Astyanax mexicanus: one gene and its partners. The protein of the gene in region 1 interacts with the protein of each later gene in a biochemical or structural test. Links are inferred from orthologs where the notes say so. Each region holds a gene or a part of one and is shown in the gene's direction. Other genes may lie near its edges.

Region 1 (11,058 bases):
CAGAACTGTGTGGATTGATGAGATCTGATTTTAGATCACCCATTGTGGTTGCACTTCAACCAATGTATATCCAGATATAGATACAGATATCGAACATGTGTTAATGCAGAGTTGTAACTTCTCTCTCTCTGTTCCTCCTCTCCTCAGTGAAGAACTGCTTCCGTGTGAGCAGCAGAGGGCGCTCCACCAAGGGCCAGTCTCACAGCCTGCAGGCCAACGACTCCTTCAACAAGCAGCAGTGGATTTCCTGCCTACGCCAAGCCATCGTCCAATCACGAGACAGATTCTCTCAAGACAGCCAGTCCAAAGCCTCATCCCGATTAAGCCCAGACCCCGCCCTGGATCACATTGCTGAACTGAGCTTGAATTCTGATGTGGAGATGCCAGACACATAGGCCTGGCCTACCAGACTTCAAATAACTTTGAGACAAAGCAAGCTTTCCCATTTTACACACCCCCCACTCACACATACACACACACACACACACAAAGAGACATTAGCAGATTGCATACATAGCATACATTTTTCTAAAGAGGAACAATATTTATATGAATGTTTTCAGATGCTGCAGTGCTGCAGTAAGTCAGCACTGAAGAATGTCTTAAACTGGTTTGAGCTGGTTGAGTGTATGAGTGAGTGCTCACACCTGTACTGTACGATCCTTCTGCACTTCCACCGGTTTAATGTGATGCAGTTTGTATTGTGTATAAATGATAATACAGATGGGTGACAAATCAACAGAAGAACCTGAATGAACAAGAGGAATAAGATAACGTTGCTGTCACACATAAACCTCATACACTATATGTCCAAATGTTTGAGGACACCCCTTGAATGAATGCATTCTGCTCTTTAAGTAAGCTTATCTAGTCCCATTAGAGAAGGAATAGAATATACATCTCTGGGGCAGATAAACATGAATCTATTGGCACCGTTCTTAAAGCTGATGTCTGTAAGTTTTGGGATTTGGGGGATTTAGGGCCCTCTCTGGTGAGAATGGGTAATTGCATCGAGCATGCGAGAGAATCATTTTAAACTGGGTGGGTGTGATGCGGTCTCCTTTCAGAGCAGGTCAGAAACTGGTGAGGGAAATGTCTTCAGAGATGTCTTCTGAAGTCTCCAGTGCTCCACCAGCCGCATGCGTTCAGTAAAACTGAGCCGTATCCTCCTTTTAGAGGCTGTACATGTGTGACCTAAGTATGTAAAGATGCGTGACGTGGGCAGAAGAACCCCAGTTTTTAGAATTAATATATTAGGCTTAGCAGGGATGGTCGTTCCAGCACACTGGTACCATTAAACACAATGTTTTGTCCCTTCTCCACTTAGAAATGCCTCTGCTTTCAGTTTAGAAACAAAAAAATACGGACTGCCACTTTAATGCCCTTAATGCTCTTGATTTCGGAAGTAACAATGAAACAGCAGGTGTCCCAATACTTTTGTCCAGATAGTTTAGCTCCAACATGGCAAATTAAGCGGAGGAAAAAACTCATCACTTTTAATGCAGGTTCTATTGGTCCATTAATCATAAAAATCAGACACAATGTAAAGAATAAATGCCAGATTTATGTTATGTCAAAAGAAAAAAGAAGAAAATGTAGAGCAGGCCAGTCATGATAATTATTTTAAGAAATTATTGTACAATATATGAACCTAGACTTAATAATTTGCTTGTCTTATTATCACCCATTGTATTTTTCGTGATAAGAGACCATTAACATGGTAAATCAATATGATTATTATTAGAAATATAATTAAAATTAAGTGTTTGCTGGTATTTTAAAGTGAAATTTGCAATTGCATTAGTATGCTTTAATATTATACATTGTATCAGGGTTGTAAAAGGTCTTATTACACCTATTTCCTGGAGAATATGTCATCCGTACAATATATAGTTACAGGCCTATTGGAGATACAGGATTTTTGCATTGCAATAATGATCAGTGCTGTAAATGCTTCCAAATAGGAGTGCTTTATTATACTGTCAAGCTAGTTAACAACCCAGTTTGCTTGTTAGTTTTGTAGTATACAATTTTCAATAGACACACTTGACACTTGATGTTTGGACCAATAAGACAGGATTGAAGTGCGAGGACATTACATGATACGATATATCACAATTCTGTTATTCTGTGATATAATATATATATCACAGAAATAAATATATCACAAGACAATTCTCTAAAATACTACACGCCATCTGTGTTACTGAAAAGTCCTAAATAAGCAATAGGAATTACGGCTTTATTGGTGTCAGTTTCAAAGAATTGGACAACAAATATTCTTTACCACAGGTTTACTCTATTTATTTGATTAGCGCCACCATGTGGAGTAATGAAGCTGTAAGTTTACTAAGTAGAATTAGGTAGTCTAGTTTAAAAAAAAAAAAAGGTCAATATTAGATGCCATGTGTCTATTATGTATTGCAAACGATATAGAAAACCATATATCACAATATCGATATTTTGTCCCACTTTTAATTATTTTTGGGGATGGATTGCAATCTGACTAGTGTTCCAGTTAAAACAGATACTAAAGTGACGTGATAGCAAAGATATCAGCAAACAGCTTTGAAAATTGTGGTTAAAAACATACATTTAATAACATTGATGCTCATCCGTTTGTGTGATATGTAAGGAAAAACATGACTAATAGTTTCTCAGGATGTGGAAACAGGTGATTTGTTAATCATTCCACAAGTGGGCGAGTTCATTTGTGGCATATACAACTCGAATGTTTAACCCTTACAAAGTCAATATAAAAAAGTTAGTTGGTTTTTATTTATTTTATTTCAAAAACTTTCCCCATTTTTTTCCCCAGTTTACACTGCCAGTTACCCAACCTACTCATTAGGACTCCCCCTATCACTAATAATGCCCCAACACCAGGAGGGTGAAGACTAGCACATGCCTCCTCCTATACATGTGAATCAGCCACCGCCTCTTTTTCAAACTGCTGCTGATGCAGCACTGCCGAGTAGCATCACAGCGCTCTCGGAGGAAAGCACAGCAACTTGGTTCTGATACATCAGCTCACAGATGCCTTGTGCTGATCGACATCACCCTTTGAAGTGATGTGGGGAGAGAGCGCCATCTACCCACCCAGAGAGAGTACAGGTGCTGGTCAAAGAATTAGAATAATTTGAAATAGTGCAATCATGAAATTCTTTGAATGCATTTTTTGTGCAGAAAGCAAATCAGGTGTTCACCGCACCTGTCCTACTCGTTAGACTAATCACAGAACTCGTTACCTGGAAAATTTAATGTTCTTTGGCCCACTTCAGCCGTTTCTCCATTTGTTTCTTGTTCAGCATCGGTTTTACTGCTGGAACGCGAGATTTGAAGCCGAGTTCGCGCAGACGACGGTAAGTGGTTGATCTGGAGACGTCAGCGCCGGTCTGCTTGTTCCACAAGTCGGTGAGCTCGGAAGTGGACTTGAACCGGTTGCTGACTGCGATCTTTCTCAGCTGCTTGTTGTCGCGAGCAGAAGTTTTTCGGACGCCGGAACAGTTTGCTGCAGTTTTTCTTGAGAGCTTTGCAGACGGAAGACTGGCTGATGCCGAGCTGCTCAGCAATTTTAGTTTGGGTCAAGCCTTGTTGGCGAAGGGCTTGAATTTGAGCCACTATTCCGGTTGAGAGGTCGCGCTGCTTACCCATGATTGATTTTACAACTTAGAAATTCTACTCAACCCTGACTTTATACTGCACAGTGAACACTCTTCACAGAAAACAAAAAATCGAGCATTTATTCTAATTCAATGAAACGGTTCCTCCAGAGTTATGTTGCAAACCCTATATCAGGCTGCACTGTTCTGTTCGCTGTTCTGATGGGATCTGATAACACAACCCTTTACTGTGACTTCATGATGGTTTTTCCTTTAAGCTTTTGAGACATGATGGTCATTGTAAAAAAAAAAAAAAAAAAAAAAAAAAAATCATTTTTTTCTTCATTTGCAATAGTGTTTAAATACATTTTCGGACAATTCTAAATATATTCTGGGCACACAGGAAGTGATGTACGTGCTTATTATGTATTTAGGTGCAAAAACAATGTGTATTGCATCCAAGAAAAAGATACAAATATAAACGCAGGTGTTATAGCGATGTTTTTTTGGAAATGACCTTTTACTCTACACATAAAAATTCAAATTCTGGTTTAGTTTTATAGTTAAAAATTTGTTATCATTTTGAAATAAATTCTGTGTGTGTCAGAAAGGGGTTAATTTGTCATCCATCTGTATTGAATGTGTGACATTTGATGGTATGATTTTGTAGAATGTGGATGCTGTTTTAGTGTATCATAAAATTTAAGCGATAGTGAACATGTGAACGTAAATATTTTTATTATATATTTTTTTCTTTTTTTTGTGTAAAAAGGACTGACAGTTTTATGTTTTAACCCATTTAGTTCTTAAGGTCAATATGAGAAAGTAGCAGAGAGATAATGAGATATGACTTTTGTCCAGTAAACCCTGTAATCCACTGTAGTTATTGTGTAGCTTATAAACGTGATGTACAATTGAATTTAAACAATTGATTTATATAAAAATGTGCATTACTTGTTTATTTATGAATTTGTTTGTTTATTTGCGTATGGGCCTGCTAGTGTAATGCAGAGTTATGGGGGCAGGCTCACTGGTGTAATCTGCTCCAGCTATGGTGAGAGGACTTGGCTAAGTATAGACAGTCGTACAGGGAGAGGAGAGGAAAGATTAGTGGTGATTAAGGGTCACTCTCTGTACAGTGGCCAGGTGAGTAGCAGCCTGAAGTGAAAGTGAGAACATATAGTGACAAAAAAAAAACGGGATATTTGTTCAGAAATTTTCTACACAGCTTTGTTGGATAACTGATGTTCAGCATCTGCTGGGATTTGAGTGGAGTGTGACCACCGGAGACGAGACTGTAAGTAAAAATGACAAAACATTTCTGTCACAAAAAAGTTTAAAGATTAAATAATTTATCTTTAGCTAAATAATTAATCTTTATTTATGTTATTATGTTTCTGTTATTAACTGTATGTTTTTTATAAGTATTGTAGTCATGATTAAAGCCGTTCATGAGTTCATGAGTGTAGGCAATTATTTGGCTGTACTTTACTATACCTTCAGTTCAGTACATTCAGGAATACGGTATTATATAACCCAATACATGTTTATGTAATTAATTTTATTTATTGAATATTATTTAGAATAAGCTGACTGAAGTTCTTTTAGGAAATTATACATTTTTTAAAAGGTAAATCGAAAAATAATTTAATTGATTGATAATTAAGTTGATTTATCTGTGAATTAACCTCCTATTAATTAAAATAATGTTGCAGTTTATGGATTAAATTAAAGAGAACATACAAAAAACAATTTCACAGACTTTAGATATTTGATAGGAATTTACAGACTATTAATCAAAGTAATATTGGAGTTGGCAGATGTACAGTATTCTTATATATAGTGTATAGTTCCTGATACTTAATCATTTATAAAAAACAATACATTACAATACATTTTAACACAAAGCCAACATGTTAGAATCAATACATACAATCATTCTAACATCATTCTGTAACTTCTTGATGAATGGTCCATTCACAATGCTCCAAAAGGTCTAAAATTATTAATTAGACTAAAATATATTAGTATTTAAAAGTTCTCTTCTAAAGTTGCCACTTCAGAAATATAGGTTTTCTGATATGACACAGATGATATGTTACTCCTGTGCAATCTTTGCATATATCATTTTTTTTTAGCTTGCTACAAATCTGTAATAAGCCAAAATTGAGTTTTAAAAAGTTTACAGAATTATGAATAGAGATAATAATAAAGCTCTATAATCATAGTATAGAATTAGGTTATTGTAAAATAGATTTACATAAGTTATATGTTAATATTAACCATATTATAAGGGCGGCACAGTGTGCCACACAACATCAGGGGTCTGGTTGTGTGGGTTTGATCTTTGACCCCTCACTGTGAGGAGTTTCCCATAGTTTCCCAGGACCAGGATAAAACGGATAAAAAAGATGAGCAAATTAATAAAATAACACAATAAAATAAAAATTAAAAATATTAAAGCAAGTGGCAAGATAAGCAAATTTATAGACTTAAACTTTGATTTAACCAAATTGAAAACCTCTGGAATATAATCAAGAGGAAGATAGATGATCACAAGCCATCAAACCAAGCAGAACTGCTTGACTTTTTACACCAGGAGTCGCATAAAGTTATCCAAAAGCAGTGTGTAAGACTGGTGAAGGAGAACATGTAAAGATGCATGAAAACTGTGATTAAAAATCAGGGATATTCCACCAAATATTGATTTCTGAACTCTTAACCTTTATGAATATGAACTTTAAAAAGTTTAAAAGCTCTGCATCTTTTTTGTTATTTCAGCCATTTCTCATTTTCTGCAAATAAATGCATTAAATAACAATACTTTTATTTGGAATTTGAGAGAAATGTTGTTCCTAGTTTATAGAATAAAAGAACAATGTTCATTTTACTCAAATATATACCTATAAAGAGCAAAATCAGAGAAACAGATTCAGAAACTGAAATGGTCTTTTAATTTTTTCCAGAGGTGTATATATGCTTTCATCTTTTAATTCATCTGCTGTTTGTTTTATAGGTCATTCAGGCTATAGCTCTACACTGCCATCTCCATTCATACTCCTCTTCCTCTGATCTGCCTGGCGTCAGTTCACCCTGTATTAGGGCCAAATGCCGAGAGCCGCATCCAACCACATGGATAACTCCTGCCGGGCCCTGTGCCGCTCTCTGCTGAACCAGAATGGCCTCCAGCCTGAGAGCACAGACATCTCCCAGTCAGTGCTCTACACCTCCCTTATGGGGCTGCTGCTGGTGGCCGACAGGGAGGTAAGACACACACAGAGCTTCAGTGTAAATGATTCTGTACAGAAAGCGTAGAGTGTGTTAGACAGTCTTAGCAGGCTAATTGGCTTCACAGAAGAGAAAAAAAGTAGTCCTAATTTTTTTTTCTTTTTTTCTTGGACTGTGCAAAAACTGTGCGCATTATATACATGGTGTAAAATGCCCTTTACATGTACAGACACCCATAAGAGATCCCTCACGCTCCGTCTCACTGCCAGATTAACGCCTTTGCTCTTGACCCCAGTGATGTCTAAGTTTGGGTCTTCCCTGCCTGAGATAATGGGATCAGAGATCTATAAATGGAAACATCCTAGACAGGCCGTGCTGCAGGGTGCACCGCGGGAGAGGCAGAGCTTGAGAGGATATTTTAAGATGTGTATAAATATTCTAGGAATCTTTCCATTTAGATTAGTTAGTAGTTGAACAATCAGTTATACATGTAGGATCTTTTAGGACTCAAAACTATAATCATTTTGTCACGGGACTATTAAGGACTGGACCCAAGTGCAAAGAGGTAAGTAATATTTGTGTAAGGATTATGTAAGGATTTATGGATGTGAAGTGGTGTGAGAGGGACTGCTTTATGCTGGGCTCGAACTCCCAACCTTGACAGTGCTGGGCCAACACTCTACTCCTGCGCCACTGGCAAGGACAGGCAGCTGTTGGAATAACACCCTCTTAACTGAGGAGGGAAAAAGGCGGGAAAACTAAACAAAGGAGATGCCACATGGCATTGCTCAAACAAAGGAAAGGCAAACAAACTAAAAAGGAAACTTAGGACAGACTTGCTAAAAGAAGTCTATTTCTTTGGAGCTCTTTTCTTTTTCTTTCTTTCTTTATTTATTTCTTATTTCTTTATTTCTTTGTTTCTTTTGTAAGTTTTTGCTTTCTCTTCAGATCTCTTATTTTCCTCTCTTTTTTATGAGATCTTTTCTTTTCCTTTTATTTTCTTTTTATTTTCTTTTATTTTCTTCAGTACCCTATGTTACCGGTCACCCCTCTACAAAGGTGTGGCAAGAGGGTGCTGCTTTCCTTGGTCTTATATACCAGTGCCAGCAGGTGTGTCTCGTTTGCACTGATTACCTTCTGGCATTCTGGGGTTTTTGTGCTCGCCCCCTGCTGGCCGCTGGCAGCACTGGCCGACCCCTTACAGGGCCCCCTCCCCTAGGGACGGCCCCAGAAGTACCCAAGCCCGCAGCACGTGCTTGTCGGAACTCCCTGATAAGTTCTGGGTCAAGAATGTGGCGTGCTGGAACCCAAGACCGTTCCTCTGGCCCGTAGCCCTCCCAATCTACCAGATACTGGGTACCACCCTGCACTTTGCGGCAGTCCAGGAGGCGGCGAACAGTATATGCTGGGGAGCCATCAATAAGACGAGGAGCTGGAGGATGGGCCGGAGGAGCCCCAGCCCCACAAAGGAAGGGTCTGAGGCGAGAAACATGGAATGTAGGGTGGATCCGCATAGATGGTGGTAAGTGCAACCGGTAAGTAACTGGGTTAATACGCCGATCTACCTTAAACGGCCCCACAAACCGTGGTGCCAACTTTCGGGATTCTACCCGAAGTGGAAGGTCTTTAGCTGACAGCCAGACTCGCTGACCTGGACGGAAAGTTGGTGCACCCCGTCTTTTGCGGTCAGCAACTCGTTTCCTTGCCTCAGTCGTTCTCAGGAGAGATGCCCGAGCCTTTTGCCAGGCTCTCCGGCAACGCCGCACAAAATGTTCAGCAGCAGGGACCCCTACCTCCCGCTCCTGCTCGGCAAACATGGGCGGTGGGAACCCGAACTGGCATTCAAAGGGTGACATGCCCAAGGATGAATGCCAGAGGGTGTTATGGGCATATTCCGCCCATGACAGGTGATCCGCCCAAGAGGAGGGGTTGGTAGAGGTCAAACATCGCAGAGTCCGGCCAAGGTCCTGATTGACCCTCTCGGTCTGACCATTGGACTCTGGATGAAATCCAGAGGAGAGACTCACAGAGGCCCCCATAAGCCGGCAAAAGGCCTTCCAGAAACGGCTTGTGAACTGGGGTCCCCGGTCGGACACCAGATCACTTGGCATCCCATGTATCCTGACCACGTGCTGTAACAGGAGTGCCGCTGTCTCCTTGGCCGATGGCAGCTTGGGCAATGCCACAAACTTGCAGGCCTTGGAGAAACGGTCGACAAGGACCAGAATGACTGTGTTACCCTTGGAGGGGGGCAGGCCAGTAACAAAGTCCAGGGAGACATGGGACCATGGGCGTGATGGGATGGGCAGTGGATGAAGAAGGCCTTGAGGTCTTGACCGGGGTGTTTTGTTGCGTGCACATGTCTCACATGCAGCGATAAAGGCACGAAGATCCTTCTCCATACTCGGCCACCAAAACCGCCTGCGCAAGAATTCCAGGGTCCTTGTCACCCCTGGATGCCCTGAAAATGGTGAGGCATGCCCCCAGGACATGACTTGCCTCCTCGCCGCAGTAGGAATATACATCTTGTTAGGAGGACCACCCCCTGGATCCGGCTCTTGTCTAAGTGCCTCCTGGATGGTGGTCTCCAGTTCCCACTGGAGAGGGGCTATGATACGAGGAGCAGGAATAATAGGCTCTGGGATAGGGTCGGACCCCAGAGGTGCCCACTGCCTGGAGAGAGCATCTGGCTTGATGTTTTTGGAACCTGGCCTATAGGACAGCACAAAGTCAAAGCGGCAGAAAAACATTGCCCACCTCGCTTGGCGGGGGTTCAGTCGCTTAGCTTGCTGAATATAGGCCAGGTTCTTATGATCGGTCCAGACAACAAAGGGATGTTTCGCCCCCTCAAGCCAGTGCCTCCACTCCTGGAGGGCAAGCTTAACGGCCAGAAGCTCCTTATCCCCCACATCATAATTACGCTCAGCCGGTGTGAGCCGGTGAGAGTAAAATGCACAGGGATGGAGCTTCTTGGCTGGGCCTAGGCGCTGGGAGAGTACCGCTCCCACGCCAACATCTGAGGCATCTACCTCGATGACAAACGGTTCTTCTGGACCAGTCCACCACAGCCTTGATCTTGGCTGGGTCCATACGGAGGGTGCCTTTGGACACCACAAAGCCCAGGAACGACACTGTGGAGGCATGGAATTCAGACTTCTCCAGCTTGATGTACAGACGGTTCTGCAGTAGCAGCTGGAGAACTCGCCTGACATGCCCGATGTGTTCCTTAGGGGTCCTACTGTATATAAGTATGTCATCGAGGTATACATATACATAATGACCCAGAGCCTCCCTCAGTACTTCATTAATAAAGCGTTGGAAGACAGCAGGGGCATTCATGAGTCCAAAAGGCATAACCTGGTACTCATAATGCCCAGTAGGAGTGATGAATGCTGTCTTCCACTCATCCCCCTGCTTAACACGTATCAGGTTGTAGGCACTGCGCAAGTCCAGTTTAGTAAATATGGTGGCTTGTTGCAGTGCCTCAAACGCTGATGACATGAGTGGCAGGGGGTAGCGGTCTTTCACAGTGATGGAATTAAGACCCCTGTAATCCACACAGGGGCGAAGGCCCCCATCCTTCTTGCCCACAAAGAAAAAGCTTGCCCCTGCAGGTGAAGAAGAAGGGCGGATAAAGCCCAATTCTAATGCCTCCCGAACATAAGCATCCATAGCTGAGCGCTCAGGGGCTGAAAGGGCAAACAACCGCCCCCTTGGTGGTGTAGTACCCGGGAGGAGGTTAATCGCACAGTCATACTCCCTGTGTGGAGGCAAGACCTGGGCCTTTGCCTTACTGAAAACCTCCTGGAGGTCCCAATATTCCTGGGGAACCCCCCTAAGATCCTGTTTCTCAGGGCTCTGGGTAGTCAGAATCTTATGGGGGGACCTCAGGTTGTTCAGACAGTGCCCTTTGCACTGGGGACCCCAAGCAAACACAGATTTAGTGGACCAATCAATGCGGGGGTTATGTTGTTCTAACCAGGGGAACCCCAGCACTAATTGCAGATTGGGGGCTTGGGTTACATATAACACTATGTTCTCACTATGAGGCCCTACCCGCAATGTGATAGGACCAGTACAATGTGTTATATGTCCAGAACCCAGGGCTCGGCCATCTATAGCCATGATAAGTAGAGGGCGTTCTAGGGGCTCCAGAGGCAGACCGAGACTGGCTGCCAAGGATGAGTCTATAAAACATCCTGCTGCCCCTGAATCAATAAAGGCTAAC
Region 2 (11,058 bases), on another chromosome or scaffold:
GCTCTTCATGCATCACAAAGACTTGCTGTCTTAGTCACAGATGCTCCAGCAAGACGTGCACCAACAATTTGTCCTCTTTTGAACTTCGTATGTCTCCCACAATGTTGTGTGCATTGCAATATTTTGAGCAGAACTGTGCTCTTACCCTGCTAATTGAACCTTCACACTCTGCTCTTACTGGTGCAATGTGCAATTAATGAAGATTGGCCACCAGGCTGCTCCAATTTAGCCACGAAACCTCCCACACTAAAATGAGAGGTGTTTCAGTTTCATTGTCCAACCCCCGTTTGTCCAGCAAACAAATACTGTGCACTGTAAGACTTATCACTGATCACTGTATGGATGTGTAAGCAAAGGTTCCCATCCTGAAAAACTAGCAATTAGACAATTCCTAATTCATAACTTTTAAATGTTTGGACCCACCTCTACTCATACTGTGTGTTTTCTTTTCTTTAATGTTTAATTGTAAATTTAGAATTGAAGACTATATTAAAGCTATACAGGATCACATGCAGCATTATTGAAGCTTTTCGTAAACAAAGTGTTAAACCATAATATGTTTTATACTTTAGATTATTTTAAATACCACATTTATCTTTGAGGACAGATCTGCACACTCTTGGTATTTTATCTCATAAGGTAAAGTGACTTGGAATAGTTTTCTCTTCGGGACCTTGCAGGAGTTCCTGGAGGTGCTGAACAGTAGTTGCGGCTTTTTCTTCACACTGTGAAGCTCCAGCTCCTCCCAATTAAATCACCTCAAATCACCATCTCAGTTCATCAGATTTAGATCAGGGGATTAATGTGGAGGACGTACACTTTTTTTTTTTTACTACATAATTCCACATGTATCCTTTACTTTTTTTGTGTCTTTAATATTAATCTACAATGTAGAAAACAAATTCAATAAAAAAAAAAACATAAAATGAGAAAGTGTCCAAACTTTTGATTGGTGCTCAATACCACATGAAGGTTTTAAAAGTTTTCCTACAAACATATTTGAATTTTAAATAAAAATCCTTATGTACAAAGAAACAAAAAAAAGTCTTTAATTTGTTTTTATAGAAAAAACATCACTCATCACGAGCACTGCTAAGGTACAAGGAGTCAACATGCTCACAAAAAAAATCATCCCTATCCCCCCCCAAAAGGAAAAATCACATACATGAAAACAAAAATATTCCAAATAAAATTCCATCATCCTGATGAACCTGAACGGCTAATTTGACACACTCTGCAGAAGCGTGATGTTGTCTCCTTTCAACATGATCCTCCCTGTTGGAGAAAAAAAAAAAAAAAAACGTTTCAGTACACCTGCCAGACATGATTCAAACCATGGGAAAAATTGAAAGATGTCCAACACTTCACTGGGGGTAGAAATCACAGAGAATATCAACACAATATTATCATGATATAATAAAATACCCCTAAATAAGCAAATCACAAAAAATTACAGAATTATTGGTGTCAGTTTCACAGAATTTCACAACCAATATTCTTTACTGCAGGTTCACCCTATTCATTTGATTAGTGCCACATGGAGTAACTTTAGTAAGTGAAATTGGGGGGCACTTTTTGGTTGTTTCAAACACAGTGCTGTACATAGATAATTATATAACAAAAACAAACACTAAAACAATAAGACAAAAAAAATAAAAGTAAACATAAAAAACAATTAAGACAGAAAAAATCCTAACCAAACGGAAGCAAAATCTTACTTTAGGTTAAAAGCCAAAGAATTAAAATGAGCTTTTAGACTAGTTTTAAAACGGACTGTGAAGAGGCCTGCCTAATGTGTAAAAGTATGTTGTTCCATAACTTGGAAGCAGCAATCTAAAAGTCTCTGTCCCCTTTAAGATATTGACCATGGCACCTCTAAGAGCAGCTGATCAGCTGACCTGAGGCATCATGCAGGAACGTGAGGATGGAGTAACTCAACAAAGTAAGGTGGGGTGAATCCATTTAAAGATTAAAAAAAAATAATAATAAAAGAATCAGTTTGAATTACAGGCAGCTAGTGGAGGGAGGGCAGAATGGGAGTTATTCACTCTCCCTTCCATGATCCTGTTAAAATTAGGGCAGCAGCATGTTGCACTAACTGGAGGCGTTTGAGGGAGGACTGACTGACCCCAAAATAAAGTACATTACAGTAATCCAGCTGCGATGTAATGAAGGCATTAGTTATTGTATGAAAATGCTCCTGTGTAAGAACTGACTTCACCTCTGCCAGCTGCTTCAAATTAAAGAAAGAAAAAAAAACTGGACCCCACAACTGCACTATTTTAAAATAACTGTCCATCTTAAACAAAGTTAGACATTGTTAGCTTCATAAATAGTGCCAAATACATTGACATAGTCCTATCCCTACTCCTTACCCAGAGTCTTTCTGTTCTTGGTCTTCATGTGGACTTCTTCTGCATCATCCAGAACCAAGTTCATGTACTCATCAAACCCCTACAGCAGAAGATAAAAACAGAAATAGCACTGATAAAATAACATCATTAAAACAAACATACAACAGAGGCCATTAACGAATCCAATACACCCCCCAAAAAATACATTTCACAGGTTAAATACAAACAGACATTAGTCTGTACTGAAAGCTATACATACACACTCTAGTCACATCTGTTCCTCTGCATACATTATTAGCATCCATTCATCCTGTTCTTCAATAGTCAGAAGCCAACAGGACCACCTTAGAGCAAGACACTTGACTGGATATATTTCTAGTTGGTGGAATACTCTAACGCCAGCAATGACACAGAGGTGTTTAAAAACTCCAGCAGCACTGCTGTGTCGGATCTACTTGTACCAACACCAGCAGAACACATACCAACATCCCAAACACATTTGTTATGCTAAACCACAGTCACTGCAGTGCTGAAAATAAATGACCCACCACTGAAATGTGGTGGCCTTGAGGGGTCCTGAGTTTTGAAGAACAGGGTAAAATAAGGATAATAATAAAGTATGCAGAAACAGATGCAGAACTACAGTCTGTACTTATAGAACTACAAATTGCTCTTACTTGCTGGGTGGAACTGATAAGATACACAAAGCAAACAAGGAGAAAACATTACATAGTCTATTTGGTCAGGTGGGCTTAAGGAGCTTTCACATCGCCATCGGTATGCCACATTGCTTTCTGCTTTGCTGGAAGCTAGCCAATTGTGGTTGTGTTGTGCTACTGCTGATGCCAAGGGTTGCCTGATGATAACAGGCCAGTGTTTTTAAAAATGAGTCACATCTACAAGTGTTTTGATGTGTGGTGTAGCTACAGCATCTGTAGACACACATCTGTCTTAACGTCAGAAAAAAAGCATTGATTCTTATCTTTTTCCTGATATTTTTATATGAGTGTAACTAACTGTATTAATCGTCAATATTACTCACTTGCCCATGTTTGGACTACAATGCATTTTCTGCTGTGGTAAGCAGTAGCATGGCAAAGGTATGGTTATGGGTGTGAAAACGCAACGCATTCCACAGTGGTCTTCATCAGCGCCAAACTGTCCTGGTGCTGGGGAAACAACTAACCCATGAGGGTCAGCCTATAGCGGTGTGGCTACTGCTTGCAATGCGAAAGCATGTTATTGCAAAGTACAAATATAGTGTTCTCTGATTAGTTAGGTCAGTAAATAATTACTTACAATAATGCAGCCTTCTATCCGCATGTTGACCTGCTCATAGAGCCAAACCGAGATACGAGATCGCTGCAGAAAAGAGGACAAAAAGATTATTAACAACAGCACAAACTTAGAACCACAATTGTGATACACAATATAACCATTAAATACGGTGCAGTCATAAAATGAGAATAAATTGTCTGCACTTTATTTTATTATTCACATTGTTATCTTATTGTGTACCCACATACAAGACCATTAATAATAACCATAAAAAAGCTGCACTTACATTCTGTAGATACCTGAAAATCAGATTCTGTAGACAGAAGTCAAGGACAAACAACTAGCACAGGCAAAAATCACAATTTAGCAAAGCCATTCTCATTAAATATCGAACTAGTCCACCTGATTATTTCCACACACACACTGCTCTACAACATTTAATACCACAACATATTCTAATTTATTATATGCTATACTATTTATATGCATTTTACTGCATGACCTATGCAAATTACCTTTTGGAATTTACATATGTATATTATATCGCCATTTAACAATTGATCCGTATTGCTCAGCCCCATTGCCTAGATTAGCTTGGTAAGTTTTATCTTGCTTGTAGTCCAACTAGCTAAACTATCAAACTCAAACAAGAACCTGCCCTATGCTCAAAATTACGGATAGATGGATGGATATACAGATAGATAAATATACAGATAAATAGACAGATATACACATAAATAGATATACAGATATGCAGATATACAGATAGAAATACATATATATATGAGTACAGCCCCAACACTAACCCCGTAACTTATATGTAACTAATGTTAGCAGAGTTATTGAATCAGTGCACTCTTTATAAACTCCCCCAAACACATTCTATCTGCAGTAATTTAACCCACCGCGAGTAATATAGCAGTTAGAGTAGTCCGATATAATAAGATAAGCTAGATAGGTTATCTAACGCAGGTAACATTACAGAAGTGAGTAGAGGCTAAGCTAGAGCTAGCGCTAAAGCTAAAGCTAAATGAATGGAGTGGAGCTCCAGCAGTGAATCAGTTTCAGTAGTAAAGGATACGATGGGCTGCACCATCACCTTCTGCACCTTCTGGCCCTGTCCTCTGTACGCCATGCTGCTGATCCGCGGGGCTGGAGCTGCTGCTGTAATATAAATATTATAACTGTAATAACTGGAGAATACAACTCGCCGGGGAACGATCTCCTCACGTTGGTGTAGCAGCGATGGCGGGGGGAAGCGCGGAGAGAGCTGCCTGGGGCTGATTTTTACTACAGCGCCGCGCAGCGACCAGGAGGACTAACCACACAGAGACCGGCCCTGAGACGCTGCCTGCGCTCAGAAACTACTACCTTTACTACCGCTTCTCTCTTTGTTCTTTTTGATTTTACAAACACAGTTCAAACTAAGAAAAGAAGAGGGATTCATATAAAATTGAACTTAAAATTATCTATGGATTTATGACATTTTTTTTTTCTGAGAGCTCTGTTGTGCGACGCGTGATTTATATTCACCAATAGTGATGGGCAGATGAAGCCTCATTGGGTGTATGGCACATTTCCCAAACTGTATCGACACTGTGTTGAAACTGTGTTGCTGTATCACTTAATGGCGACATCTGCTGGACTAAGAAAGTCATTGCAAGCAACTGCGCGAAGAAATGCATCGGTCACATGGTTTTCCTTAAAATGATACGCGGTCTGACACAGGGGTTCGCCTTGTTTGCTCGGTGCATGCGCTGAAGTTTCAGTGTCGTCAGACCCATCGCTACCAAACGATACAGTAAGTGTATCGGTCACGTGGTTTTCCTTAACTTGATACGCGCACCGACACGGGGTTTCGCCTTGACAGCTCGGCGCATGTGTCGAGGTTTCAGGGTCGTCAGACCCATCACTAGTGTTAGCAGACTGTGTTTGCTTATTGTTGTGACTTGAAAATCAGTACACATTTATTGTCCAATTTATGCAGAAATCCAATTAATAGTTTTTTTTTTGTGTGTGTGTGTATATATATATATATATATATATATATATATATATATATATATATATATATATATATTATAGACTATATGTTGCTCTATCACTTAAAATCGCAATAAAATACAACTACATTACAAATACAATTTTGTGTTGTAAGGTGGCAAAATGTGAAAATGTTAAAAGATATTTTCTTATTCTAAATATTGCAGTTATTTTATATTTAAAATAACAAGCTATGTTTTTTATGTAAATACATAAAACGTGTAACTTAGTTAATGTAATAAAACTTGATACATAAAAATAAACACAGACATACGTGGAAAGATGACATGAGCTCAACAACTGCTTGCGTCTGCACTGTTTTGTGCACGCGGTGTGACGCAGTGCGCATGTCAGTTGTTGGCCAGTGTGTTGTTATTTGGAAGGCGCTCCGAGGTGAGAAACGCTACGATATACAGACAATTTAAGCGAATTAACGGTTAAAAGCCACCGTATATGAGCACGGTTCTGTTGGGGACAGATTTGCGATGTTAACTAGGGCGGTATTTGATTAAATAATGCAAAAGTTCATTTAATATTGACGCTGAGATGCTGCTAAGATAACTGTTAGCTTGCTAAACTAAGATAAGCTAGTTGTCTATTATGCTGAATTAAGACCAGCATAGCTAAGCTAGGTTTGGTAGATTAGCTGACTGGCTAACGTTAATGCAACGTTACATTGCTGAGCTAAAATACAGTTCTTATTAATTTGGGTAAAGGGAGTTACAAGGCTGCTTTATTAGAGTTTAAATCTAGTTAACTAGCAAATATTCTAGGTTATTGTAAGATAGCTATATGCTGGGTTGGGTTATGTGGTTTAACGCAGCTTTCCTAGCTAGCTAACGTTAGCTAAGCTACTAACTATTATTAGCTTACAATACCCAGTGCAACATTATTATAAATGAAGCTAAAGCATTACAAGCAGGTTAACAGTATGTAGCAAAATTTGGATACACTTTTAGGGGTTTGCCAAGCTGTTGCATCAGTTTTAGCACAGTCAGCTACTTACCTACCTGACTGTCTGTTTTAGGCAGGCAGCTACCTCACCGACTGTTTGTGGACAATTACAACCAGGTGTCTTTTGTTTATTTCCCTTTTGTTTGGTTCTGAGGCAGTGGTCAGCAGCTTGGTTTATTTAGGTCCCCAAAATCACACTATATCCTTTCAGGAATTAAATTATTTACTCAGGAATGCCTTAACCAAAGGTGTCAAAAGTATTCACATTCATTATTCAGGTTGAGGTATAGATATAGTGGTTTAAAAATACTTTTGTAGAAGTTAAAGTAACAACTCAAGTTTTTTACTCAAGGAAAAGTGTAAAAGTACTTGTTTCAAAGGATCATATAGTGCACTACCTATTCAAATAGCAGCTTTATTGTGATCTGATGAAGCATGTGTGAGAAATCCATTGCGAAAACACCCACAAAAATAGGTGCTCCTTAAAAGGTAAAATTGTTATTAAAACATGGTCAAATTTACGCATATATTTCAATTTTGTTCATATTTACGTCTGAAAGGAGGCAAGGTCTAGGATCTCCTGTAAATAACGATATCTGACATTGTGATTCGTCTTTTATAAATTTTTCGTAATATTTTAAAGAAGGATCACGTTTTCTTTATTTGTGAACTGACAGTTTAACCAGTTGTGAACACGACAACAAAGATGTCCAAGAAGCCAAAGCAAGTAAAAGTAATACTACATCTTTGAGTTTGTTTGTTCCGAAGCAGAACTGAAGGGACTCAGGATGCTGCGACTGAGGTGCAAGGCCAAGAATGGAACCCATCTGATGCAAGGCCTCACGCACCAGTCCTGTGTCCAAGAGCTGAAAACCAAGGTAGAGGAGCTAACTGGAATTCCATGCGACGTTCAGAAGATCATGGTGGGCTACCCACCATCCAGCTTGGATCTTCGCAATGGAGATGCTCACCTAAAAGACTACCCTATAAAATCAGGTGAGGTTTTTATTTTGTTGATTTTTAAACATGAATTGACTTTACCCAGTAGGGCTGTGCAATATAACCAGAAAAAAAAAATCCATATTCATATCTAAATATCATATATATTTGGATATTCTGATATTCTGATAATTTATATTATGATGTAGCACAATTTTTGTTAATTCAGTGAATTTTCTATAAATATTTATTTCATAAAATAACATATAACTATGTATTTATATTTTTTCTTTAACAAGCAGGAAGAAGCGGGAAGGTTGCAGGATGTTTTTCACTTACTATTTGGCAATGTTAGTAAAGTATACACTTTGAAAAATTGGGACAGACACAACAAAAAAAGCACACTAATTTGGGGTTAAACTGTATGGAGCTCTGTTGTGGCTCGTTAGGAGTTTAGGAAAACTTAAAACGATATTTGCATGAGCACTCATCAAAGCTTCTAACGTGCATTAACATGCATAAGCCTGTTTGGGGAGCATTGGCTAAAAACGCTGTATTTTGCAATGCTGGTCGTCACGTTTCAAGTCCATTTCACACCGAATTGCATAGTTTTTGGTATTTGTTCACATTGCTACCTATATCTTTGGTTATTGGAAAGAACATTTACAAAAATGTTTTTTTTGTCTCCCCGCTTTCCCTTCATAACCTCTCTTACAGGAGACACTCTGATTGTAGAAGAAGAAAAGAACAAACCAAAAGTCCAGACTAATGCTGCTCTAACAAAAGTCCCATGCCTAAATTCTTCTCCTGTTCTGGAGCGCCGAGTGGTTCCTGCTGACAACTCCTGCCTCTTTACGAGTGTGAACTACGTGGTGGAGGGGGGTGTGTATGATCCAGCCTGCGCACCCGAGATGCGCGGCCTTATCGCCCAGATCGTGGCCAGTGACGCAGCTGCCTATTCAGAGGCAGTACTGGGCAAAAGCAACGACGAATACTGCACCTGGATCCGGCGTGATGACACGTGGGGGGGTGCTATTGAGGTCTCCATCCTGTCCAAGTTTTACCAGTGCGAAATCTGTGTCGTGGACACGCAAACTGTTCGTGTGGACCGATTTGGCGAGGATGCTGGCTACCAGAAACGTGTCTTGCTTATTTACGACGGAATCCACTACGACCCGCTGCAGAGGGCAACGCCTGGCTCGGACATCCCACCGCAGACTGTCTTCTCCACTACCGACGACATCATCCTCGCGCAGGCCCTGGAGCTGGCTGACGAGGCAAGGAGCAAGCGGCAGTACACGGACGTCAACCGCTTCGCGCTGCGCTGCATGGTGTGCCAGACCGGCCTGGTGGGACAAAAGGAGGCGAGAGAGCATGCCAAGGAGACGGGTCACACCAACTTCGGCGAAGTGTAACAGTTCGCTTTGGATCACCTTTACTGTGCCCTCCCACTGCCACTCGGTATATGTTCTCACCTGAACCCAAACCCAAACTAATTCACAGTTGTGTGTCTCAGCTTGGTGCCGTTTTCTACCTCACAATGTGTTTTAACCCAAAACCCCCAACTTTTCAGTATTAATTACAACTCTTGGTCAACACTGGGTTTTTGACATTCTTGAGCATTACGTTTTGGTGTGTATTATCAGCACAGTATTGCAACAACACCTTTTTATTTTTGATATGTAGCAATTGAGTTTATTGCCTAATGAGGAGTGAGCCTTTTATTCAAACCAAAATGTCAAACATTGCCTTCGTTATCAGTGTTTAAAACTTGCAACACTACTATTGCATAGTTGATAGCCTTGCTGTATTTGTGTGATTATTTCTTTTCTCAATTTTAAGGTTATATTGCACATTTCCGAACAATCGATGGCACTGAATGGTCTTAAAAGCTCACTGGCTCAATAATAACTGTTACTTGAAATAGTCGCAAAGATCAGACAGTGAGGAGCATTCTGTAGTTGTTTATGATTTTTTTTTTAACAGGTAGCTTCTCATGCATAAAGTATTTGAAAAGCATGGGTTGTAGTTTTAGTTAGGCTTCTGAGAGAGTGGATTGTGTAACAAATGGTGCTGATTGTGGACTCACATTATAAACATTATATAGTATAGTGGTGTGGATTTACGTTCCAAACTGCACTGTTTTTATTGTTTGTACAACTGGCCATGCAAAACACCTTTATGCAAGTGGCTACGAAACGTTTTTGCCAAGATTGATTTTTTTTCTTTCCTTCAGTGAAGAATTGTGTCATATCAGATTTTTTGAAGTGCTTGAAAACACTGGGGTAAATGTCGCTGGACTTGGTGACCTAGCCTAGTACAGTAAGTAGTATGAGTGGTTAAACAATACATTAATACATAGAATGTATTTTAGTGCTGGTGATAACTGGAAATACAATACATTTGCAGTCAGGTACTGTCCACGCAAGGCTTTGTATGTTATTTTATTATTTGGATAGTGGGATTGGATGATGTTAAGCTTTAAACATCATCACTGAGCAGAGCTCTAAACAGGAAGTTAATGAAGTAATGGTTACACCATAAATAAAGGATGAATTGATACACCTGCTTGTTTCATTCAACAGGTAAGAGCTTCCATAAGCTTCATCATCTGTGGTGTTATTCTGGGATTGAATTATGCTGCAGTTGCAGAACACAACAGTTTATTTACTGTATTTGGCTTGATGTACATTAAGTGTCACTTGCTATCAACTACCTCTCTAATAAATCCCATTCAGATAAACAGGATTATGTCTCTAACAATTTGCACGATTAAAGTAATGCTATTTTAAGAAATCTTTTAACTTTAGTAATAGGATTACCTAGGATTTGGAATGACAATGGCAGGCAGCAAACCTATTTTGGCAGTTGTTTCATTCAGCAGCCTGCCATCTTGTGTATGTAGATGAAAAAACAGGCCTACTTCTATTTAGCTTTGGCTAAAACTAAAAGGCTCCCCTACCTCCTACATAGTGCAATACATAGGGCACTGAGTAACATAGGGCACTGAATACATTTTGATACGAAAACATTTGGGATTTAACCTTTTGCTAAATCATAAACTGTAGAATACTACCTATAAAGTGCAATACATATGACTCTGAATAGCACAAACAGTGTAATACAAGTCTGATAAGGAATAATTTGGCATTTAAGCTTTATTTAAATCTCAAACTGTACCCTACTTCCTACAAAGTGTATTAAATAGGGAAGGGAATAACCCAGTGCAATTAAAGTCTGTTGAGGAACTATTTGGCATTTAACCTTTGGCTACATCTCAAATTGTCCCACTTCAGTTTAAAATTGACCATTTTATCCAACATAGTGCCCTACCTAGAGCACTTAATAACAGTTAAATAAGTCTTAATAAAGAACTATTTGAGATTTGTGCTCTGGCTAAACCTAAAACTGTCCCTTACTCCCTACATAGGACACTGAATAACACATACACTGTAATAAAGCTCTGATAAGGAACCATTTGAGATTTACA
Region 3 (11,058 bases), on another chromosome or scaffold:
AGCGAGAGAGTGTGAGCGTGCCAGAGAAACGAAGGAACGAAATTCAGGCAGAGTTTCAGGTGCTGTATCGCCCTCCCCCAGGATGCACGCAGTGTTAGTTCTAATTTTAAAGATAATAAATGCTGTCGTTGTTATCGCGCCCGCTGAATTATTCAGGCTTATGCTTTTGGAGGTTATTTGTGGAGGTTTTTATTATTTTATTTTTTTTTTCTGTTCTTCCTGCTGCTTATAAGACTGTTTCTCTTGATTCCTCTGTGTAACAATAGCTCAAGAAAGTCTCATTTAAAGTAGTGCACCAAAGCAAAAAGGCCACAGGTATATGAGAGACTGCAGTAATGCCTATTTCTCCTTCTTTTTTCTCCTTCTTTTTTTCTGCAGACAGGAAAGTTCTTTTTGATAGACAGCTTTCTAACTAGCATCCCACTTCGGTGACCTTCTCGAATGAATGCCTGTAACCAAAAGTATGTAAAAGAGAGAGGGAGAGAGAGAGAGAGAGAGAGAGAGAGAGTGTGTGTTGGGGGAAAGGAAGAGAGAGAGAGAGAGAGAGAGAGAGAGAGAGAGACTGAGAAACTGAGAAAGAGAGGAACAGATTGCCATCCTTCATAAGATAAGCCCCCCAGGTTTAATACACATTCCAATATCCTCAGCAACAGAAGTCAGATTATAATTTCTGACGAGTATAGATTGCATAACAACATCTGGCTAATCCTCAACCTACAGGCGTATAAGCATATTTTTCTCTAATTAGATTTATTTGCTGCCTTTATATGATTCGTCTTTACCCTTGGCATTTCGTGCTCCGGCAGCAGATGTCATTAAAATTCCTCCTCGTGAGGAGCCGATTCAGGATGATATTCATGGCGAGATTCGGGGAGGAGAGCGGATGGCGGAGAACATCAAGCATCGCATTCATTGATCCTCTGCACTTCGGAAAGAAAAAAAAAAAAAAGGAAGCTCAAAGCTGCCAGCCAATGGCTGTCCTCCGCCGCCCCGTAATGAGCCACAGTCTGATCTGACATTTTCTGCAGTAGAGCAGCAGATGGGTGAATGTAGTCAACGTCTCGGGCTATTGTGACTTATCTCTAAATTTTACCTTCAGCTGCTGCACGAGATTCGTAGAAACTGCTTTTTTTGTCGTAGATCAAAAAATGCTGTCTGCAATCTGTTGCTCTGTCTCTGCAACTCTTTTGGTTTCAGACCACCTCTAGACCCGAACCTGGACACTTTCTATGAAGTACATGAACTACATTTAAACTGGGAGGGGAGCAACCAAAAATCATAATAATAGTAATCATAATAGCGATCTATTCTGCCTGTCAAAAAAATTGTGTGCAATGCACACAACATTATGGGTGACATACCCAGAGTTCAAAAGAGGACAAATTGTTGGTGCACGTCTTGCTGGAGCATCTGTGACCAAGAAAGCAAGTCTTTGTGATGTATGAAGAGCCACGGTATCCAGGGTAATGTCAGCACACCACCAAGAAGGACCAACCACATCCAACAGGATTAACTGTGGACGCTGTAAGAGGAAGCTGTCTGAAAGGGATGTTCGGGTGCTAACCCGGATTGTATCCAAAAAACATAAAAGCACGGCTGCTCAAATCACGGCAGAATTCAATGTGCACCTCAACTCTCCTGTTTCCACCAGAACTCAGAACTGTCCGTCACCACAATAAATTATTGTGGTCTAAAATCAGGTGTTTCAGTTTCATTGTCCAACCCCTGTATATCTGCAGAAATAAGATTTTTCAGTACAATAACAGAGCTTTAATAAGTGCAAGGTCTGTGTTTAATTACGTGCTCATGGAGGAAAGAGACAGGTCTTCGTTGGGTCTTGATGTGTCCAAAAGTAGCCAGACACCTGCACTAATTAGTGAATTCTGCTACTATAGGTTCACCTATTGGTGGAACATGCATTCAGTTACACACACACACACACACACACACACACACACACACACACAGAGCTTTTATATTAGCTTTTTTCAGTGACCTTATCTCATATTATTAGCTAAAGATTGTCCTACATTGAAGCAGCTTCAGTAAGTTTCAGTATAATGTAAAACTACTGTTTTAATAAAAGTAAAAGTAACTCTTGAGGAATATTTGGAAGTTTTACTTTAAAACTTTTACACTAACAGTTGTTTTAGGGTTTTTTTTTCTTTACAGCACTCACAGTGTTTCTGTCATTAACTGCTGTGGATTTCCTTGGTCTACCTGTTCAACATCTGTTACTAAGTACACCAGTGACGACTTTCTTCTTCAGGACATTGCAAACAGTTGTTCTGGATATGGACAATATTTGTACAATGGCTCTGATTGAGTTTCCATCTTTTCTCAGCTTCACAATTGCATGTTTTTCACCAATAGACAGCTCTCTTTTTTTTTTTTTTATATAAATGCACAGATAAAACCCAAATCCGAAACTGAATGATGTTTATTATATAATTAATGTTTAATGATAATTCATGAATCAGGTCACACCTGGGCAACAAAACACACCTGAGAGTCACATGTTCCAATACTTTTGCTCACAAGAAAGATGCGTACTATCTGTGCTATCATCTAAACAGTGTATCAGATGCATTTATTATTCATATTAACCTTATATTAATAGTTTAATGTCAAATTCATTTTCAATCTACACCAGAAATAAAGCAATTGACCTGAATGTTCCAATACGTTTGGACCATTGTAGCTGTAGCTATATATATATATATATATATACACACACACACACACACACACACATATATATATATATATATATATATATATATATATATATATATATATATATATATATATATATATATATATATATATATATATATATATATATATATATATATATATATAATGTTTAAACATATGAACTTATTGAACAGTCCTGACCCTGTAAACCAAACTAAAACAAAAACAAAATCTCTTACATATTCGTAACTAATTTGTACTTATATTTATAGTTTGTAAATAGCAGAAAGCTGATTAAATCTGTATTTAATTACACAGCTTAGCATTTGGCACCATCATGTTTCAGACCTTTACAATTGTATTACTCAACAAATAATTGTTTTCCAGGTGCCTTAACTGGCCTGCATGGGGTCATCTGAGGAAATGCTGATGAAATATTAATGAACGCTTACAAACAAGCACAAGAACAAGCAGCGAAAACATGGGGGAAACATGGAGGAATCCTAAACAGATAAATGTTTTTAACAACCCTCAAGGATGTGCTTTACATATTTGTTGGTGTACATATCAGTGGTATAAAAAAAGTGGCACTCCTGATAGTTTTTATGATTTCCCTTTATAAATCATTGGATGTTCGGATCAGCAATTTCAGTTAAACACAGCAGACAAACACAGTGATATTTGAGAAGTGAAATGAAGTTTATAGGATTTAAAGAAAGTGTACAATAACAAAAAAATAAAGCTGGTCATTTTATTGATTATTATTGGAACACTAAATTTGTTTGGTATGCTCATTGACACTTGACCTTTATACACAGGTGAATCCAATTATTAGAAAGAGTTAAGGTGTCCAATTGCATGTTCTTTTCTCTCATCATCTTCTCTGAAGAGTGGCAACATGAGAGCCTCAAAACACACCTCTCAAACAACCTGAAAACAAAGATTGTTCAACATCATGGTTTAGAGGAAGAATACAAAAGCTCAAACCTCAGAGATTTCAACTGTCAGTTTCCACTGTGAAGAACAGAGTGAGGAATTAGAAGATCACAGGCACAGTTCTAGATAAGATCTGAAGTGGCAGAACAATAAAAATCTCAGATAAGCAGAGGAGAAGGATGGTGAGAACAGTCATAGTCAACCCAAAGACCTCCAGACCAGCTCCAAAGACCTACATCATCATCATCTTGCTGCAGATGGAGTCACTAAATATTGATGTTCAGTTTTTCTGTTGGGGTGCCCAAATGTATGCACCTTCTAAAAGTTGATGTCTGTAAGATTTGGGATTTGGGGTATTTAGGGCCCTCTCTGGTGAGAATGGATAATTGCACCAAGCATGTGGAAAAATTATGTTACACTGGGCGGGTGTGATGCGGTCTCCTTTCAGAGCGCATGAATCCGATTCCAGGTTATGTTCAGTCAGAGAGAGAGAGAAAGCAACTTCACTCCTTTGTTTCTTTGTTTTTACTATGAGTGAATGAGACACTGAGGTCTGAGTTTCCTCTTCTGAAGTCTCCATTGCTCCACCAGCCACTCGCGTTCAGTAAAACTGAGCCAGATCTTCTTTTAGAGGCTGTACATGAGACGTAAGTTTGTAAAGACACGTGACGTGGCCAGAAGAAGAACTCCCTTGAAAAGTGTCCTGACCCCCCAGTTTTAAGAATTAATATATAAGGCTTAGCAGGAATGGTCGTTTCAGCACACTGGTACCATTAAACACAATATTTTGTCCCTTTTCCACTCAGAAAAGCTTCTGTTTTCAGTTTAGAAACAATATAATATGGACTGCCACTTTTAAATTTTGTTTAAAGAATTATTGCACACTTTCTGTAAATCGTATAAACTTCATTCCACCCCTCAAAACACAGTATCACTATGTTCATCTGCTATAAGATATATTTAAATTAAATTGCTGATCTGAACAACCAATGATTTACAAAGGAAAATTATGAAAATTATCAGGGGTCGCAACTTCTGGACCAATCAGCACCTCCTAACTTCTCAACAAAGAAGTGATGTCACTGCCGAAACTACAGAACCAACACCATAGTTCCCTCTTCACTAGCGGTGTAGTAGTGGTTTTAAATAGGTTGCTCATAATAAGTTGTTTGACAAAGCTTGACAGCATTGAATCTGACTCTCAGGAGTTCCCATCACACCTCGCAAAACGAAGAGAAATCAAAGTGCACGCGCTACGGGGTAATGATGCACGGAGCGTGTCTTGAATAAGCTCTCAAAGCCTGTAATACCCAGCATGTGGGTCGCTCAATTTAGTCTGTTGTCAAAAAGTTGTACAGAATATGTAACAGTGTAAACAAAGGGATCATCAGCATTCGAGTCTAGTAGCAAACATGCCTGTTTACGTTGAGCTTTTTGTGATAGTTATTTGTAAGGATATACTGTACCAGTCATATGTCTTCAATCCAGTGATTTTTTTTATGTTTTTTTTTTAGTCTATTAATTGTAATAGATTAAGTCATCCAAAGTATTAAGAAAACAAATGGAATTATATAGTAAAAATATTTTTTTAACAAACAGAACATGGAAAAAATATTAATTAATTACTTGAATTTCTTTCTTGTGTTTGAGAGCGTCAGTTGTAAAGTTGTGAAGAGGTAAAGTAAAGTTGTGAAGAGGTAAATCCATATTATGAGAAGCAAAAACTACTCAACTAAATAAAGAAAAAAAAATACTTTAAGAAATGAAGCTCATTCAGTACAGAAAATGTCAAGAACGTTAAACAGATCCTCAAGTGCAGTCACGAAGAGCGAGAAAAATGCTGAAAATGATAAAACTTGGCTCTCATCAGGACCACCCCAGAAAAGGAAGAGCAAGAGTTACCTCTGTTGCACAGAATTTCATCAGATGCCTCAGAAAGCTTAGACAGTTAACAGCACCCCAGATAAAAGCAGCTAAATTCTTCACAGAGTATTTTTTGAGCTTTTGTTTTTTAAGTTGGTTTGTCTCATTCCGCTATAATCCACTTTTTCTTGTTCTTTGTGAAATACTATAGGTCTCTTTGAGTTGTACAGCAGAAGGAGTTATAGCTAAGGAGGAGCTTACAGCTCTGTTTACACAGCTAGTTAGCATTAGCTATCTTGTGTAAGTAACTGTAGGTTTAAATAGGATCTCCGGTTGATTCAACATTTTACCGAAACCTTAAATCAGGGGTGTCCAAACTTTTTTTTGTTGGGGGCCAGAAGGAGAAATATATATGAAGTCACGGGCCACAGACTCTGTAATAAAACAAATAATGAAATACACCACTTTAAATAATACTTTTTTCCTGATTATTTCATTTACACAATTTTACTTGACTTACTATCTTTATCTTTGACAGTGTTGTGTAAACTAAGATTTTTCATATTGATGTTTCATTTCATGATGTCTCTTAATATTAAACTCCTTAATTACGGCAACATTTAGACTCTTTGGCCTGTTTTTCTGCGCTAGAAATGCGCACCCTTTCCCCTTTTAGACTCTTTGCCCAGTTTTTCTGCGCTAGAAATGTGCACCCTCTCCGCTTTTAGACTCTTTGCCCCGTTTTTCTGCGCTAGAAATGCACACCCTCTCCGCTTTTAGACTCTTTGGCCCGTTTCTGACACCTAGCGTTCAAACTTTGAATCTCACATTATAAAAACCTGCTTAACAGCGGGCCAACTTTCATTCTATTTTCTAAAATACCTTGCCGGCCGCTCCAAAAAAGGAAACGGGCCGCAAATGGCCCGCGGGCCGTAGTTTGGACACCCCTGCCTTAAATATACACTAGGAAAGCACGGTTTGACAAGGTAGCACAACTCGATAGAGCACCAGTCAAAGCGGGAGCCGTTCACTTTTACAAGATTTTACAAGAACCAAATACAGTCTTTCTTCAGAGACCTCTCATTCAGTGATCTAAATCAGGGCTAAATAGAAACACCTGAACCTGAGCACTTTTTTTTTTTTTCAGAAAAAACGGCTCACATGGCATTCATTTATACTAGTGACAACAACTAGATATTTTAAAATAAATGAAAAAAAAATGATGAAATGAGACCATCAAGACTTTTTAAAATATTTTTACTGCATACTATGACTACCTATTAAGAAAAACATTGTATGAGAAAGTGTGCCCAAACTTTTAACTAGTACTGCACAGCTTTTTATTTTGTGTACACTACACCATAGAAGTAATTAAATGCTAACTTGATCAGTATTTTAATTAGTAATTTATAGTCTAGGTGGCACAGTGGTGCAGTAGACAGTTCAAGAGGTCTGTGGTGGTGGGCCAGCTCTGGTCTTCTTTTGGGAGGAATTTGGTCTAAACTACATTTGGCCCAGTTCTGCATGGCCGATGCCAAGGTTCAGCTGATGCTGCCATGCAGCCGATTCTTCATACTGTCTGGGCATGAGTGTCCATGTGGGTTTCTTCTTCCTCTGGTTTCCTCCCACCTTCCAAAAACAAGTGTAGGTCAGGTAGCTTTGCTAAATTAACACTTAGGTTTGAAAGGATGTATGTTGTAGCCTATGATAGATTTAGGCTGATAGACTGTCCAGTGGGCATTCATGTCTTGCGTGCATTAACTCAAGGCAGGCTCTAAGCCCACTCTGTCTCATTGGGTTTGCACTTGGGGCCCTATTTTAATGATCCATACACCTATAGATCACTAAAATAGGGCCTCCAAGTCATAAACCGTGCACCATGCAGCTTAGGGCTGAGGGATTTAGGACATGTTAGTGTGTTTTTGCTATCATAACGACAGGAAAAGTATGCCTTACGTGGCTCCAAACGTACAAAAGGCGTGTACAAAAGGGGTGTACAAAAGGGGTGTGTTTTGGGTACTTCTCAGCAGAAGAAACATGACCTGGTTGTTTTTGTTGCTGTGAAGGTGAGCAAGCAGATCATTTACGAGAACAGCGATGTTATATTAATTTGTATTATATTTACTGTTCGTGTAAAAGTTGGATTTGTGCACTGCACAGAAGTTAAAATACGAATCCACCAAAATCAGTCAGTTAAGAGCACTTGGTTCTCAAACGGAATGGTATGCCCAAAACATGCCCATGATTCGTTAAAATAATTAGTACATGCCATTTGTGCATCTTGAGCTGTGCAAGGGATACTTATCCCATCGTTACAATAGCAAAGACAAACTGCCATGCCCTAAATCAATCTGCATGGTTGACAGTTCGCCAAAATAACAGTTCGCTAAAATTCAGGTAGCCCAGTGATTAAGTGTGCTCAATGATTCAGGTTAGGCTTCGGACCCACTGTGACCCTGACCACAAAGAAGCAGATAAGTAGATGGATAGATGGAAATGTGGATGGATGGATGGATGGATGCATGGATGGATGATGAGCCATTAACCAGTAATGAGGTGGTACAGTAGGGATTGTATGGCCTCCACAGCTGTAGTGGTACGGGTTTCGGGTAAGATGCTTGCTGTGTTCCCTATTTGTAAGAAGTTTAGTGGGTTCCCCCAGTGTTGATATGGCTTTCCTTCAGTAATAGTAGGTAAATCGGCTATGCTAAATTGCAGGTTACTGTCGTTTACCACTGTCTTTTTGCTGTGAAGATGCTTGAAGATGAGGAAGAAGACACAGCAGACATTGTCTTAGGTGTAGTACAATGATTTATTACAAAAGACTAAGGCAAAACCTTCAAGGCTTCCTAGGCCAGCCTTGGAGAGAGATGTTTTCCGGATTTGAAGTTTCCGCTCTCTCTCCCCCTCCCCACTCTTGGGGGCCTCCTTATATATGGTGATATGGTATATATCTGGAAACACTTAAGACATACATAGCCATAGACAGCCATAGACCGAAACTACCTAAAGAATAGCATACCTGTCAAGTCTCCCATTTTGGCCGGGAAACTACCGTATTTTACGCCTCTTTCCCGCCGTCCTCCCGTTTTTTAATTTTCCCGTAAATGTCCCGTATTATATTAATATTAAAAAAAAACTTTATTATTAAGGAGACGGGGCACTGACCGCTCTGTGTCTCTTAACCAATCGTGGTGCCGGTTCAGGGAGAAAGTCCCGCCTTTCAGGAGAAACAGCCAATCAGCTTGCTGGTTTTGCGGAGCGCGAAGGAGGGTTAGTGTGGGGAAGACCCCCCGCCCCCCATCGCTGTGAGTTCAGGCAGCTAGTCGGAGCTGCTGATGTTAAAATAGATCTGGATATACAGCGATTTTTCTAAAAGAAAATATTTTTCTGATAGCTGCTTAAAAATACTCATCTGAATCAAAACACACAGATTAAACCTTTTAAAAATAAAAAAATTACAGATAATCTAATTGTAGTCTGTAAGTGGTTCACATGTGGTTATTTTAGATTTTTTGTAAACATTGTCTTAAAATGTAAGGGATACTGAACCTTCGTTGGGCTGGTGGGACGGCTTTAAGCGGACGGAGGAAAATATCCCTTATTTTTTAATCTAAAACTTGACAGGTATGGCATAGTTACATACATTAGTGAAGAGAAATAAACTGAATATAAAGAAAATACATATGCTGAAAACTACTACTTCATTACTACACTTCTATTCACTCCCACCTTGAGGTAATTTAGAATAGCCAATTGATCTACCGTGGGTGATTTTGGGAGATGGGAGGAAACTCAAGCAGAACTGCAAAAAAAAAAAAAAAAAAAAATATCCACCCACAGATAAAGACCAGAGCAAAGACCAGATCCACAGAGCAAGAATCAGATCCACCACCATGCTTCCCTGAGCTTCTGCTCAAATAGTTAACTTTTCACACCAATCATTTATAAGGATATTATTAACAGTTCAACTAAAGAACAGATTTACAGTGAAGCCCGCCGTCTCAGATACATGCAAGGTTGTTTTTTTTCTGCTTTCTGCTGTCTGTTGTTAAGGTTGAAAGGCAGGTTCAGGGTGGGACTAGATCTTTCACCACCAGGCTGCACTGTATCAGAGGAAAATCCATGAAACATACATCAGAAAAATAACAGCTAATGCACCCATTGTGAAACATGCTCACCTGGATTCTCATACATAAATTCTCTCAATAAACAGATGAAGAGGGAGACAACAGAGGCGATGCAAGATCTTATCAGATTGAACAGAAAGCTGTTTCTTAATGTTTCTTCTATTCTTCTTCTCTCCCTGGCTTTTAACCTTAACAGCATACCTCCTGCTAGACTGTAAAAAAAAAAAAAATAAATAAATAAATAAATAATCACTCGAATAGAAACTCTCTGGCAGGCTTCAGTGACTCTCTGTTGTTATACTTAACTCTCAGTCATTTTTAAACTTTTTTTTTTTTTTTAACGAGAACTGTAAAAATAGTTCAGTCTAATGATGCACCACTTGGGCACTGTCATGGCCTGGTGGTTAGCCCCTCTCTGGGTGGAGTGTTGTGATGGATTGTATAGGCTTTTTTTAGTCCAATACTTTATATGGAACTGAATAGAACAGTTCACCAGAGATTTCACCAGAAGCAGTTTTTTTTCCAGCCTTGTGCCAGCCTTACCACTTATTATATTTTAAGAGATTTCACCATTGCAGATACATTTCTGTTGTCAAAATATATATATTATATATTGCTATGATGTGTTGCAATGCAAGTCGTCCTCATGGTTTGGTGAAAGGTGGTCAGGATGATGAATCTTAATAAAAATGTGTACCACTTTAAAATAAGACTACCTTTATAAAGGGTTTATGAATGGTTTAAAATTCTTTTATTTACGGTTAATAATTAGGTTGTAAATGCCTTAAAAATCATTAATAATCAGTTATAACACATGCGTAGAAAGGGCAACAATATAGATGGCTGTGGGTTCACTACTTGGCAAACAACAGGTCATTGTTGCCCTTTCGACATATGTGTTATAACTGATTATTAATGTTTTAAGACATTTACAACCTAATAAGTAACCATTAATAAACTAATTGTAAACAATTTATAAACCCTTTATAAAGGTAGTCTTATTTTAAAGTGGTACCTAAAAATGTTTAAAGGCTGTTTAAGTATTCAACAAACTAATATAGCATGTGACTATAGCATAAACTTTGGTTACAATTTTATGTATTATATAATAATTTTCTGAAGAATAAAATTGCTAAGGTGAAATTCCCCCTTGGATAAAATGTGTTTTTGTAAATTTAAAGGTCACATAAGGGTTAATAGTTCAATATGATCACACAATTTTAGTTTTGGCTAATGCGAACTATCACATGGACATAGTGAACAACCAAAAAGTGAGCCCTTTAGAACACCAAACCAACAATTTACAACCAACCAAACCAAACTATTTTTATTCTTTTTTACTACACTTTTATTTTTGGCCACAAATCTACGCAAAAAAAAAGTTTATAACAGAACATAAAATATAAAAATGTATTTATTTAATTAATTCATC

What was found.
Region 2: the proteins of usp21 (region 1) and yod1 form a complex in vitro, tested with the Homo sapiens proteins (2 studies listed by BioGRID, with this or other methods). The link is inferred for Astyanax mexicanus from reciprocal best matches to the Homo sapiens genes USP21 and YOD1.
Region 3: the proteins of usp21 (region 1) and aurka form a complex in vitro, tested with the Homo sapiens proteins (2 studies listed by BioGRID, with this or other methods). The link is inferred for Astyanax mexicanus from reciprocal best matches to the Homo sapiens genes USP21 and AURKA.

The regions. Positions count from the first base shown.
Region 1 is NC_064420.1:35,351,572-35,362,629, forward strand, and holds the start of usp21 (ubiquitin carboxyl-terminal hydrolase 21), read left to right. Parts: upstream 1-3,515; 5' UTR 3,516-4,899; intron 4,900-6,618; 5' UTR 6,619-6,710; coding exon 6,711-6,866; intron 6,867-11,058. Other genes in the region: arhgef3l (rho guanine nucleotide exchange factor (GEF) 3, like), read left to right, coding at 148-395. UniProt on the Homo sapiens protein: Deubiquitinates histone H2A, a specific tag for epigenetic transcriptional repression, thereby acting as a coactivator.
Region 2 is NC_064431.1:7,025,390-7,036,447, forward strand, and holds yod1 (ubiquitin thioesterase OTU1), read left to right. Parts: upstream 1-5,955; 5' UTR 5,956-5,962; coding exon 5,963-6,068; intron 6,069-7,397; coding exon 7,398-7,625; intron 7,626-8,285; coding exon 8,286-8,983; 3' UTR 8,984-10,132; downstream 10,133-11,058. Other genes in the region: snrpe (small nuclear ribonucleoprotein E), read right to left, coding at 1,220-1,275, 2,376-2,454, 3,654-3,716, 3,919-3,945, 4,714-4,767. UniProt on the Homo sapiens protein: Hydrolase that can remove conjugated ubiquitin from proteins and participates in endoplasmic reticulum-associated degradation (ERAD) for misfolded lumenal proteins.
Region 3 is NC_064424.1:42,036,422-42,047,479, forward strand, and holds the start of aurka (aurora kinase A), read left to right. Parts: upstream 1-5,711; 5' UTR 5,712-5,721; intron 5,722-11,058. UniProt on the Homo sapiens protein: Mitotic serine/threonine kinase that contributes to the regulation of cell cycle progression.